Oryctolagus cuniculus: one gene and its partners. The protein of the gene in region 2 purifies or fractionates together with the protein of the main gene of each other region. This does not show direct contact. Links are inferred from orthologs where the notes say so. Each region holds a gene or a part of one and is shown on either strand. Other genes may lie near its edges. The genes, in order: PSME3, CLK2 and ACIN1.

Region 1 (3,959 bases), on a different chromosome or scaffold from region 2:
TGCAAACGAATGGGTGAAGAGTGCGCCTTAGGCCTCCGTTAGGAAAACGGATAAGGCACCGCCCTAGCAGTCAGGAGAGCCGGCTTGCGGGGGCCCCCGCGGACCTGGGACACGCCCTGCACTAATCCAGCCATCAGTGTGCCCATTACGTAGTTGACCTCTGAGGTCTGGAAGCGTATGGTACAATGAAAGGTGTTTGTCTCTAGCCACAGCACTTGAGCTGCGGCCAACGGGAAAAGGTAGCGGGAATCACAGACTAAAATCCCGAACTCGGCACCCGGGCCACCCGCTTCCTCCGGCCGACGTCACTGGGGCGCGACGGAGTCGTCTGGCGGGCAGCTGCGACCTGAGAATCCCTTCGGGGAAGGCGAATCGGGGCCAACAGAAAGCCAAACAGTCCCCGAGTCTCTTGAAAGCTCAGTTCTCAAAAAACCAACTCCTACCACCTTCCCTTTTGCTTCACTCTCAGCCAGCTTAGCAGCCGGCCGCGACCAGTCCCAGTCGCAGAGCCCCCAGCCCGACAGACAGCGCGCCTGCGCAGAGTACGCGCGCATCCTCGCGGGAGCCCCGGCGATTGGCTGTGACGTAACTTCCGGCGTGAGCGGCGAAAGCCGGGAGGGCGAGGGAGAGTGCGAGCAGGCAGCAGGCAGCAGGCGGGCAGGCGGACGGACCGCACGGAAGGAGGGAGCGAGCGAGCAGTGAGTGAGCTAGAGACGGCGGCCGGGTCCCGAGGGCAGCCGGAATTCCTCAGGTCCCCCTGGCCCCTCCCCGGAGCCCACAGCGCCTCCGGTCTCCAGCGGAGCGGACACGGCCCGGCCCGGCCATGGCCTCGTTGCTGAAGGTGGATCAGGAAGTGAAGCTCAAGGTAGCGGCACCGGTCCGGGCCTTCTCACCCCTCGCTTCTGTCCCCCAGCCGTCTGACCGCCTCCCTACTCCCCGTGGTGTCTTTGTCTCCCTGGGGACACCGGCTCGGAGCTTCCGCCCGGCTCAGCCCAGCCCCCCACGCCCGGAGACGGCCTTAGGGGGAAGGGTATTACAGAGAGGCCTTCCGTCCCCGCGTCTGGTGATGGAGAACCCGGGGAGACCTCTGCAGGCACGTGTTGGAGTCATTGCTTTCGGCCGGTGACAGCTGGGAGTCCCCCAGCCCAGCGACGCCCCCGCCCCGGGGGCGCTGCCCCTGCCCTTGGCGGCTGGCCCGCTTCCTGTCATAGGCCAGGTGTGAGGTGGGCTAGGCACGTTTGTGATCTCACATCCCCGCATCTCCCTGTCTTTGTCAAATTCAGACAGCTTCAGACGCAGGGAGGGAGGGGAGAGGAGACAGGCGGGTGCTGTCTCCGAGCCCCGCTTTCCTCTCCTGAGATGGAGAAATGGATCCTCAAAAAAATAAAGTATTTGCAGTCTGGGGGCCTCTCAGCTTCTCATTACAATCGCCAGGTGAGGGGCAGAGAGCTGGGTTTGGGATTCCCCATCCTGTCCTTACCTCTGTTGCCAGGTACTGAATTGCTCTTCCTGAATTGCTGTCTTTGTTCTTTTTAGGTTGATTCTTTCAGGGAGCGGATCACAAGTGAGGTGAGTGAAATGGAGAAATGCGTATTGATTAGGAGTTGGGAGTTTCCCCAAGAGGAGGTGATTGCAGAGGGAGCCCTTCCCTCTGTCATTAATTCAGTTGTATTTTCCCTTATCTAGGCAGAAGACTTGGTGGCAAATTTTTTCCCAAAGAAGTTGTTAGAACTTGATAGTTTTTTGAAGGTGAGAGACACTTTGCTTACTTCAGTTCCCCAGCGTCTTCAGGCCTGCCCTTTCTGTCAGATGGAACCAGTTGTGTGCTGACTCTGTTTTGTTTTGTGCTGTAAAGCACTCTCACGGCTTGCCCTTCCAGTGAAATGGTTCTTTGTTCAGCTTGAAAAGACCAATGTTTTGAGGGTGGGCCTGTCTCTTTCAGGAACCAATCCTAAACATCCATGACCTAACTCAGATCCACTCGGACATGAATCTCCCGGTCCCTGACCCCATTCTGCTCACCAATAGCCACGATGGACTGGATGGTGTAAGTGGCCCGTGTTTATCTTTGTGTTCTGAAGCAATAGGTTCTCTGTTTTCTAGTTCCTGGGGAGCTGGAACATACGTCGGGGGATGGTGGCATTGGGGTCTGGCATGATGGCTCCAGGATACTTTCAGACCCTGATGTGCATGTCTAAAACGAGGTGAATGCGCCCCAGGGAGTCTCAGTGCACTAACCTGGCCACAGGCCCCCGTCGCTTCCCAGGCTGAACAGGCTCCTCTTGCCTCCGCTTCACGGCCTTGAGTCTCGTGGCTGAGGCGCTTGCCGTGGAGTCGCAGACCCTGCCTTTTCCGTGCAGTCACCATCTGCGTCCTCTTAGCACACCGATGACGCTTTGTTCTTTGTCAGCGTCTCCTCGGTAGAACTTGCACGTCTGCAGGCGGGAACTGTCTTCATTGTCCTCGTGTCCTCGGCACCTAGCTTTGTTCCCAGTGCCCAGCGATTGCTGAATTCTTGTTAACTGAATATGGTGTTCCCTCATGGAACCAGCAAGTTTGTACATATCCCCTTAATTATCCTCACCGTGCCTCGATTGGTTCCTTTTTCCTGCTCTTTATAGTGTCCTCCCTTTCCCCCAGTTGCTTAAAGTGTTGTGTTTCTTGCAAGGTTGTTGCTTGGTGGCAAGAACATTTCTTCAGGCTTTATATGTACTTGGGAAATTATGCAGAAAAGAACAGGACAACCTACAGGGTCAAGGAACAGTTGACTTGCTTGAAGGGTGTCTTGTGGGTGTGTACGGCAGGCTGATTCCTGCCTCTTTGTGTCCTTAGCCCACTTACAAGAAGCGAAGATTGGATGAGTGTGACGAGGCCTTCCAAGGTAAGAGCCACCCCGGTGCCCCCTGACCTCCCCCTGACCGCCTGACCGCTTGCCCTGGGAAGTAGGATGGATCTGGCGTTCCCTCAGCCCAGAAGCAAGACCTGCTTTCCCAGAGCCAGTGTTCCCAAGTCCCCCGGACAGGGGCGTCATTTAGCATTGACCTCGTGTGGGCCGCTGAGGGGGAGTGGTTGGAGCAGCAGCCCACACAGCTCGCGCGGGTCAGAGAAGCCCCAGTGCCATGTTACTTATTTCCTTCTCAGCAGTAGTTGTTGATGTGTTCCGTCTTTAAGGTGTTTATTTATTTTTAAAGATTTATTTTATTTATCTTTAAAGATTTACTTTGTTTATTTGAAAGGCAGAATTAGAGATCTGTCCTCTGGAACAGACACAATGGCTGGGGCTTGGCTAGGCCGAAGCCAGGAGCTTCTTCCAGGTCTTTTACGTGGGGCAGGGGCCCAAGCACTTGGGTCATCTTCTGTTGCTTTTTTAGCAGGGAGCTGGGTTGGAAGTGGAGCAGCGAGGACTGAAACCAGTGCCCATATGGGATGCTGCTGTTGGCTTAACCTGCTGTGCCACAGTGCTGGCCCCATTTTAACGTTCTTGTTCTTAGACTTCGGGCATACTTTGGATGCTTATCTACTGAGCTGTGCATCTCTGATTCTGTCAGTGGTGCCGTGGTAGGACTGTGACAGATGAAGGGCAGCGGTCAGAGCCCTCACTGGCCTGGGAAGGAGAGTGGAAGATGCCCCGGCCTCCCTCCTGCCTAATCATTCGACCTTCCCATCCCTGCCAGGAACCAAGGTGTTTGTGATGCCCAATGGGATGCTAAAAAGCAACCAGCAGCTGGTCGACATTATTGAGAAAGTGAAACCTGAGATCCGGCTGCTGATCGAGAAATGTAACACGGTGAGGCAGGGGCTAGTGACCCGTGGGCTCACTGCGGGTAGCCCCACTGACACCATGAGACTGGTGGGTGAGGGGCTGGGGGCGTGGCGCTGGGGTGGGCTGCTGGCACAGTAGCTGTCTTAACTCGTGGATTCCTAGCATCTGGCCACAGCAGTACCAGCTGGGTACTTCG
Region 2 (3,959 bases):
CTGGCTCTGGCCTGGCCCAGCCTTGACTATTTGGGGAGTGAACCAGTCGATGGAAGATCTCTTTCTCTGCATCTCTGCCTTTCAGATAAGTAAATCTCTAAAAAAAATAATTAAAACTAAGCACTAACTACCGAATACACAGATATAATACGCTCTCTGAATCCATTAGTATTAGCTACCTCGGCTCCCAGTCCTCTGCGCACAATCCTCTCCCTCTGAAGGTACAGGCATTTGACTCCTGCTTGTCTGGAGGACAATGGCGCCTTCTCTGCAGCTTCCCCGACCCACCCATCCTGCCGGGTGCGCCCGCAGCCCCTCCCTGAGCATCGCCACCTTGGGCACCACATTCAGCCACCTGCTCAGCACCAGCCCTTGCTGAACGGAGGAATGAGTGGCCGCGAGTCCGGCTCTCTCCTTGAGGCCTCACCTTCGGGAACGGACATGGTAGCTGTCTTCCCGCCGGCGCCGCCTCGTCCGGTCACTGCTACTGGACCAGGAGCGGCTTCTTCGACGCTTATGCTTTCGGCTCCGATAGTGCTCGTGGTAACTGCCCCGGCTGCCTCGCTCTGAGGAGTGGTACCTTCGGGGATGAGGCATCTGGAAGGCAAGGAAAAGTGGAAATAGTGAAGAAAGCCCTGTCCCCGTGCCTCCCCAGAACTGGCTGCTCCAGAGATGCTAACCTGCTCTCTGCTGCGTCTATCACCCACAGCTTCCTCAGTGCTTACAATTCCTCCTTTCTGGAACATGTCACCTACTAACTGGCCAAAAACTCTAGAAAGCACCACCCAAACGTACCCTTTATAACTACCCCCCATGTCAAATTCAACTGTGCCACACTGATCGTTCTCAACCATGGCTCCCTGAAGACTCTCCGGCCTAGGCCGTAGCTTGTTACAGGTGACAGCGTGACTGGCAGACAGTGAATGCTTCAGTCACCCCTAGCTGGGGTCTCAGGTGTGGATCCGCGTGACGCAGAACCCCTCACGAGTCACCAGTACCACAGCATTCGGTTACAGTGTGTATTCTCTCTCCAACTACACCCAGGCCACCAGTACCCTGAGCACACAAGTGCAGTTCCCAGGTGTCTACATACAGCAGCTACACGCTAATCCAAGAAGCTCCAGGAACGTGCACTCACATCCCCAGCCAAATCCTCCTTGAGAGGTTTGAATACAGTAGCTGCCAACCCACAGCCAGCTTCCCAGTTGACCTTTGCTCTCGCGGGCTTAGGAAGTAGACAGAAACTTTTAAAATTAGTAGCAGCACTATTTGGATGAGAGTGGCTACTTTCCAATGATTGGAATCGGAATGGTATAGCTCAAGAATTCTTTATTTCCTTCAAGGAAAAAAAAATCAGCTATGATCCAGGAAGAGAACAGGAGAGCAGCTTGAACAGAAACAGGCCGAGGGAACACAAGGCAGGGGGTGGAAATACGGGTGTGCAAAAGGTTTTAATGACTCCAATGCAGGCTCCCACTCTGAACTTCTTCTCAAAGAGAAAACGGTGATATCGGATGCATTCCTGGCCTGACGGGCTGGCAGGAAACCAAGAGGTATGCACAAGGTTCTACCTTGATTAGCACAGCCACATAAATGCCATCTCACCACGTACACGCCATCACCCAAGTGCCTCACAGGCCTTCCCTCCCCCCACCCCCAACAAGGCATCCCTAGCTTCTCCCTTTCTCACCCAGAAAATCTACAACTAACTCCTACAAACTCCTCCCGGAGGCTCCGAGGGACACGGTGGGGCTTCCCCCTCTGCAGCTGTGGAAACCTCAGGCCAGCTTGGATATTCTGGGACCACTCCCCTCCCTACTCCACCACCCCTCCTCCTACTTCTCTCTCCCGAGTTTCCTACGGATCTGCCGCAGCCACCCGCGGCGGACCGACCTCCTTCCTCCACCTCTCCCGACTCTGCCGCTTCGCAGGTCTCAGCCCTCCGTGCCGCCTGAGCTCGGCTCCGTCCCTTCACCCCCGTCCAACCCTATCCCCGCCCGTCCCGCGGTCGCCATCTTCCCGCGAGGCCCCGCGGCCCGCCAGCCCGGGCGCTCACCGTTCTGGCGGCGAGGCCCGTGCGCTTGTCCCACAGGAAGTCCGTGATGGCGGCGGCACTGCGGCCGGAGTCCCGGCACCCCCGCGGCGACGAAGTGCGGCTCCACCCCCCCAACCCGAGACCCTGGGACCTCCCGCCCGTTCCCAGGCTCCGCTCCAGTCCCGCCCGCCCCGGCTCCGTCCCCGCCCCCAGGATCCGCTTGGCGCCGCTCGCACCGCCCCCGCCCGGGGCCCGATCCCAGCTCGGTCTCCGGCTCTGGCCTCTCCGCTCCGCCGCCGCCGCTGTGAGCGAGCACGTACGCACGCACCACGTCCTGCGTCGCTTCCCATCTACCCCCTGGCTCCGCCCCCAGGGCCGCGCGCGCCACCACGTGCTCCGGGAGCTCGCGGCGTCCGCCTGTCAGGCCCGGGCGGTGGGGGCGGAAGTTCATGGGGGCGGGGAGCGGCCGCCGGGCCGCGCCGGATGCCCGCCAGGCTCGCCACGCCCCGCCTCTTGTCCTTTCCCGTTCCCTCCTCTGGCTCTTTCCAGGGGCGCATCTGTGGCGTGCTTGGGTTTAGAAATTTAAAAGAAAGGGTTGTCATTTACGAGATGTCGGCAAAACTCAGTCCCGTGAGGCTTGGTGAGATCCGACTCTCTGGGATAGCCCGAAAATACCCATTTCTAATGTAGTTCACCTAGCTAACCTCCGCGGAGAGGCTCCACCTTTTGTCCTGAACAAAGTTACGCACGTGTGAGGGCAGGGCGTGGAGGGCTGAGCTAACGGAGGAACGGAGAATCATCCGTTGGGTACGCGAAGAGTATCTCTCGTGCTTTGCATGTACGAAAAAAAGAATGGAAAAGAGAAGACGTTGAGGCAACCTGGGCAGAGCTACAGACGCTATAGGAGGAAGTGGTCAGAAAGGAAAATAAAACAACCGCAGGATAACTAAGTCAGACTGTCAGATTGGGGATAGTCAGATGGAGATTACATCATTAACTAGAAGTGGTTTAGAAATGCCTTTACGTAGGAAAAGGAAAGGTAGGGGCCTGCTTTGTGGCCTAATTGCTGGCCTGCAACTCATGCGTCCCATATGGGCATCAGTTCCAGAGTCCCGGCTGCTCCACTTTTGATCCAGCTCTCTGCTAATGGCCTGGGATAGCGGTGGAGGATGACCCAAGTCCCAGGGCCCCTGCACCCTCGTGGGAGACCCGGAAGAAGCTCCTGGCTTCAGCCTGGCCCAGACCAGCTGTTGTGGCCATTTGGGGAGGAACCAGCATATGGAAGTCTGTCTGTCTGCCTGTCTCTCCTTCCCCACTCTGTAACTCAGGCTTTCAAATAAATAGAATAAATCTAGAAGAAGAAGAAAAAGGAATGATAATGAAGGAATTGATAAAGGAGAGATCTCACTCCATCATGAACAGTTTCCTAAATCATTCATTCATCCAACAAGCATTTGCTACATGTCCATTATGTATCCAGTATTGTACCAGGCATAAAGTTTTTTTTTATATTACTGAACTTTATGTACAAATCATTAGATTTCAAATATTTAATATAAAAATAAGCATTTCTAAACTGTTTCTTATTTCTGTACCATTCGAATGATTTATCATCTCACATTTCTTCAAATTCTGTTATCAAGGGTGCATATAGAAAAAGTTTTATTTGAAAGGCAGAGAGAGAGAGATCTTCTATCTGCTGATTCACACCCCAAGTGGCCGCAAAGGCCAGAGATGCACCAATATGAAGCCAGGAGCTTCTTCTGGGTCTCCCACGTGGGTGCAGCGGCCTAAGGACCTGGTGGAGCAGCTGGGACTCGAACCAGCGTACATATGGGACGCTGGCACTGCAGGCAGAGGCTTTACCCCCTATGCCAGAGCTCTGGCCCTAGCAGTAATGCTGTTAATGCTTCAAAGAAGACTA
Region 3 (3,859 bases), on a different chromosome or scaffold from region 2:
GCAGGCTGATCTCTATGTTCTTAAAGCACATTATTAGGTATGATGTTAGGTAATTATTTGATTAAAGCTGTACAATGTGATGTTAAATGAGACAATAAAAAGCATCAAAATGGTAAAAAAAAAAAAATCCTACTAGCTGATACTGGGTTAGTTCTTCACCCTGCTTTCTAGATGTTCTGTTTATATTATAAAAACTTGAATCTAAGAAATTAACTGAGGGGCCAGCGTTGTGGTGCACCAGGTTAATGCCCTGGCCTGAAGCACCAGCATCCCATATGGGCACCGCTTCTAGTCCTGGCTGTTCCACTTCCGATCCAGCTCTCTGCTATGGCCTGGGAAAGCAGTAGAAGATGGCCCAAGTCCTTGGGCCCCTGCACCCGCATGGGAGACCTGGAAGAAGTTCCTGGCTCCTGGCTTCAGATCAGCACAGCTCCGGCCGTTGCAGCCAATTGGGGATTGAACCATCAGATGGAAACCTCTCTCTCTCTACTTCTCTCTCTGTGTAACTCTGACTTTCAAATAAATAAATAAACCTTTAAAAAAAAAAGAAAGAGGCCGGCGCCACGGCTCAATAGGCTAATCTTCCACCTAGCGGCGCCAGCACACCAGGTTCTAGTCCCGGTCGGGGCGCCAGATTCTGTCCCGGTTGCCCCTCTTCCAGGCCAGCTCTCTGCTGTGGCCCGGGAAGACAGTGGAGGATGGCCCAAGTGCTTAGGCCCTGCACCCCATGGGAGACCAGGAGAAGCACCTGGCTCCTGCCATCAGATCAGCGTGGTGTGCCAGCCGCAGCGCACCAGCCGTGGCGGCCATTGGAGGGTGAACCAACGGCAAAAGGAAGACCTTTCTCTCTGTCTCTCTCTCTCTCACTGTCCACTCTGCCTGTCAAAAAAAAGAAAAAAGAAAAAAAAAAAAGAAAAGAAAGAAATTAACTGGAAGCAACTTCATTCTTAATTTCCCTTGGGTTTTTTTGTTGTTGTTGCCCTAAGCATATTACTCATGCTTGTCTCCAGTCATACTTGTCTTCTGTGTTGCAGAAAATGTGTGTGGTTGTTTCTTCTTCCTAGGGGTGTCTAATAAGATACTTTTTCTCTTTTGATTGTGAACAAACATGTTTGGAACCATTGTGTATCTTTTCTTTTAGGCAAGAGCTGCAAAAGTCTCTGAGTGCACTGCTGAGGAGGAAGATCAAGAAACACCTTCTAGAAATCTGAGGGTTAGAGCAGATCGAAATTTGAAAACAGAGGAGGAAGAGGAAGAAGAGGAAGATGAGGAGGAAGATGAAGAAGAGGAAGATGATGATAATGAGGGACAAAAACCTAGGGAAGTACCAATCTTAAAACAGTTTGAGGAAGAAGAGGGGGAAGAGATGGCCAGAGCAACACCAGAAGAGGTAATGGATGAAAGACACAAAACTGTAAGGTCCCAGGAACAGGAGGGTTTAGAGAGAGGAGGAAGAGTTACAAGATCCCAGGAAGAAGCCAGAAAAAGTCATCTAGCCAGACAGCAGCAGGAAAGAGAGATGAAGACAGCGTCTCCCCTTGAGGAAGAAGAAAGAGAAATAAAATCTTCACAAAACTTGGAGGAAAAATCCAAATCGCCTTCCCCTCCTCGACTGACTGAAGATCTCGAGAAAGCCCCTCTTGTGCTGCAGCCAGAGCTAACAGTCAGTGAGGAGGAAACTCCCCCACCTTTACTTACCAAGGAAGCATCTTCTCCACCACCTCGTGCACAACTCCAGAGTGAAGAAATCGAGCCCATGGAAGGCCCAGCACCCCCTGTCCTCATTCAGTTATCTCCTCCTAATACAGATGCTGAGAACAGGGAGCTGTTAGTAGCTCAGCATCCTGTCCAGTTGGTGGGAAGCCTGTCTCCTTTGTCAAGTCCTGCAGACACCAAAGCAGAATCTCCCACAGAGAAAGTGCCAGAGGAGAGTGCCCTGCCTCTAGGTCAGAGGAGCACACTGGCTCAGTACCCAACCCAGAAGGCTCTTGAAACTGACTCAGAAAAATCTGCTCAGCCACTCCCTCTAAAAATCCAGGAATTAACACCGGCCAAGGGAATCACAGAGCAGTCTGTGAGGCAGCTGTCCTTGGAACAGAAGGAAGGCAGAAGGGCTTCTCACCCTCTTCTGCTGGGGCACAGATTGAAACAGTCAGCTGATTCATCCTCTAGCCGCTCGTCCTCATCTTCATCCTCCAGTTCTAGGTCCAGATCTCGCTCTCCTGACAGTTCAGGCTCTCCATCTCACTCACCTCCGAGGTCCAAGCAGAGAGATGTATCCCAGGCACATGTTCACACCAACCCTCGTGGTAGACCCAAGATGGACTCCAGATCAACATCAGAGTCCCGGTCCCGGTCCCGGTCCCGGTCCCGTTCAGCATCAAGCAACAGCAGAAAAGTGAGTGTGAGAGAATCCCAGGTTGATGTTCTGTCCGTACACCAGTGTGTTTTCAGCCCCTGTAGTGTCTATCATGATTCCTGACAGTTACAGGAAAAGCCTGACTTTCCTCTAACTTCAGAATCTAATTTTCAATTCATTGATTACTAAATGGGGTTCCTTTTCTTCCTGAGCGGGTTCCTTTGATTCCAGAGAATGTTGAGTCCATTTCTTCATCTCCTCCACTAAATGTAAACTTCTGCGGGGTGTGGACAAGCTTCTGTGTGTGTGTATACTGGTACCCAGCATCTAGATGGAACCTAATGAATAATAGTGAGGCAAGGGAGATTACTAGCTCAGGAAAAAACACAGGGCCAGAAAGATCAAAGTATTCTCTTGGGTCAGCAGAAGTTGGAAAATTCAGTGGTCTACTGAATATATACCATGTATTTTCCTTTATGTGTGTTTCATCTCTTCAGTCACTGAGCCCTGGAGTCTCCAGGGACAGCAGCACCAGCTTCATGGAAACCAAAGATCCCTCTTCTGGTCAGGAGATTGCAACTCCACCAGTGCCACAACTACAGGTCCTTGAGCCAAAGGAGAGGACTTCCACCTCCTCATCCTCTATCCATGTGAGGCATCTGAGCCAGCCTGAGCCAGCGGAAAAGCATGTGACCCAGAGGTTACAGCCTGAGCGGGTAGGCTACTGTGACCTTCCCTTGAGGGAGATGAAGGATTAGGCACGATTTTCTCTTTCGTCTTAACTTTAAAACTGAGTTGTATCGACAAGCTTTAGTGGAAATGGAGAGAGTTGGGAATACCTAATATTCCTGCTTACCTCCTTTCCTACTCCCTGGTTCAAGAAAGCTGTACATGAGGCTGAACAACAGGGTCCTCATCTTCAGGGTGCTCTGGGTCACTTCTCCCTAAGAAGTCCTTTTGTCTGCCCAAAAGGAAGCCTTTTCTCAGTTCTCTCAAAAAGTAATTCTAATAAAATGACTGTTGGCACAGAGGTTCTTCAGGTACCATATTCCATTCCATATTCTAAAACGAAATTGTAAAGATGCAGAGGGCTGCATGTGGAGCTGCTAGCTGGTACTGAGTATGTGCTGCCCTGCCATTTTCCAGCTCTTGGTTAACGAAAAGGAACCAAACAGATTTAAGTAGTTTGCTGTTTGTTTTTGCTGTCACCTGACAGGGGAGCCCAAAGAAGTGTGAAGCTGAAGAGGCAGAGCCACCAGCTGCCACACAGCCCCAGACCTCAGAGACTCAGACCTCTCATCTACCAGAATCAGGAAGGATTCAGCACACTGTGTAAGTGTTGTGTCTCAACTGGGCTATAGCAAGAACTACAAGCAGGGGATAGTCTGCTCCCTAGGGGTCTTTGACTAGGCATTCCTAGTCTGTTTTCCATTATGAAGGCAGAGCTTTTATCTGAACAAATGTTAGACTTAATTACTACTTCAGGACCTGCCACCAGAA

The links.
Region 1: the proteins of CLK2 (region 2) and PSME3 purify together in Homo sapiens (affinity purification with mass spectrometry; 3 studies listed by BioGRID and IntAct, with this or other methods). This does not show direct contact. The link is inferred for Oryctolagus cuniculus from reciprocal best matches to the Homo sapiens genes CLK2 and PSME3.
Region 3: the proteins of CLK2 (region 2) and ACIN1 purify together in Homo sapiens (affinity purification with mass spectrometry; 3 studies listed by BioGRID and IntAct, counting the BioPlex papers as one, with this or other methods). This does not show direct contact. The link is inferred for Oryctolagus cuniculus from reciprocal best matches to the Homo sapiens genes CLK2 and ACIN1.

What each region holds. Positions count from the first base shown.
Region 1 is NC_091448.1:20,081,925-20,085,883, reverse strand, and holds the start of PSME3 (proteasome activator complex subunit 3), read left to right. Parts: upstream 1-1,288; 5' UTR 1,289-1,359; coding exon 1,360-1,434; intron 1,435-1,536; coding exon 1,537-1,569; intron 1,570-1,686; coding exon 1,687-1,749; intron 1,750-1,942; coding exon 1,943-2,047; intron 2,048-2,832; coding exon 2,833-2,881; intron 2,882-3,674; coding exon 3,675-3,787; intron 3,788-3,959. UniProt on the Homo sapiens protein: Subunit of the 11S REG-gamma (also called PA28-gamma) proteasome regulator, a doughnut-shaped homoheptamer which associates with the proteasome. 11S REG-gamma activates the trypsin-like catalytic subunit of the proteasome but inhibits the chymotrypsin-like and postglutamyl-preferring (PGPH) subunits.
Region 2 is NC_091438.1:43,283,185-43,287,143, reverse strand, and holds the start of CLK2 (dual specificity protein kinase CLK2), read right to left. Parts: upstream 2,354-3,959; 5' UTR 2,057-2,353; intron 598-2,056; coding exon 428-597; intron 1-427. UniProt on the Homo sapiens protein: Dual specificity kinase acting on both serine/threonine and tyrosine-containing substrates. Phosphorylates serine- and arginine-rich (SR) proteins of the spliceosomal complex.
Region 3 is NC_091443.1:51,938,867-51,942,725, forward strand, and holds part of ACIN1 (apoptotic chromatin condensation inducer in the nucleus), read left to right. Parts: intron 1-1,141; coding exon 1,142-2,398; intron 2,399-2,856; coding exon 2,857-3,075; intron 3,076-3,575; coding exon 3,576-3,691; intron 3,692-3,859.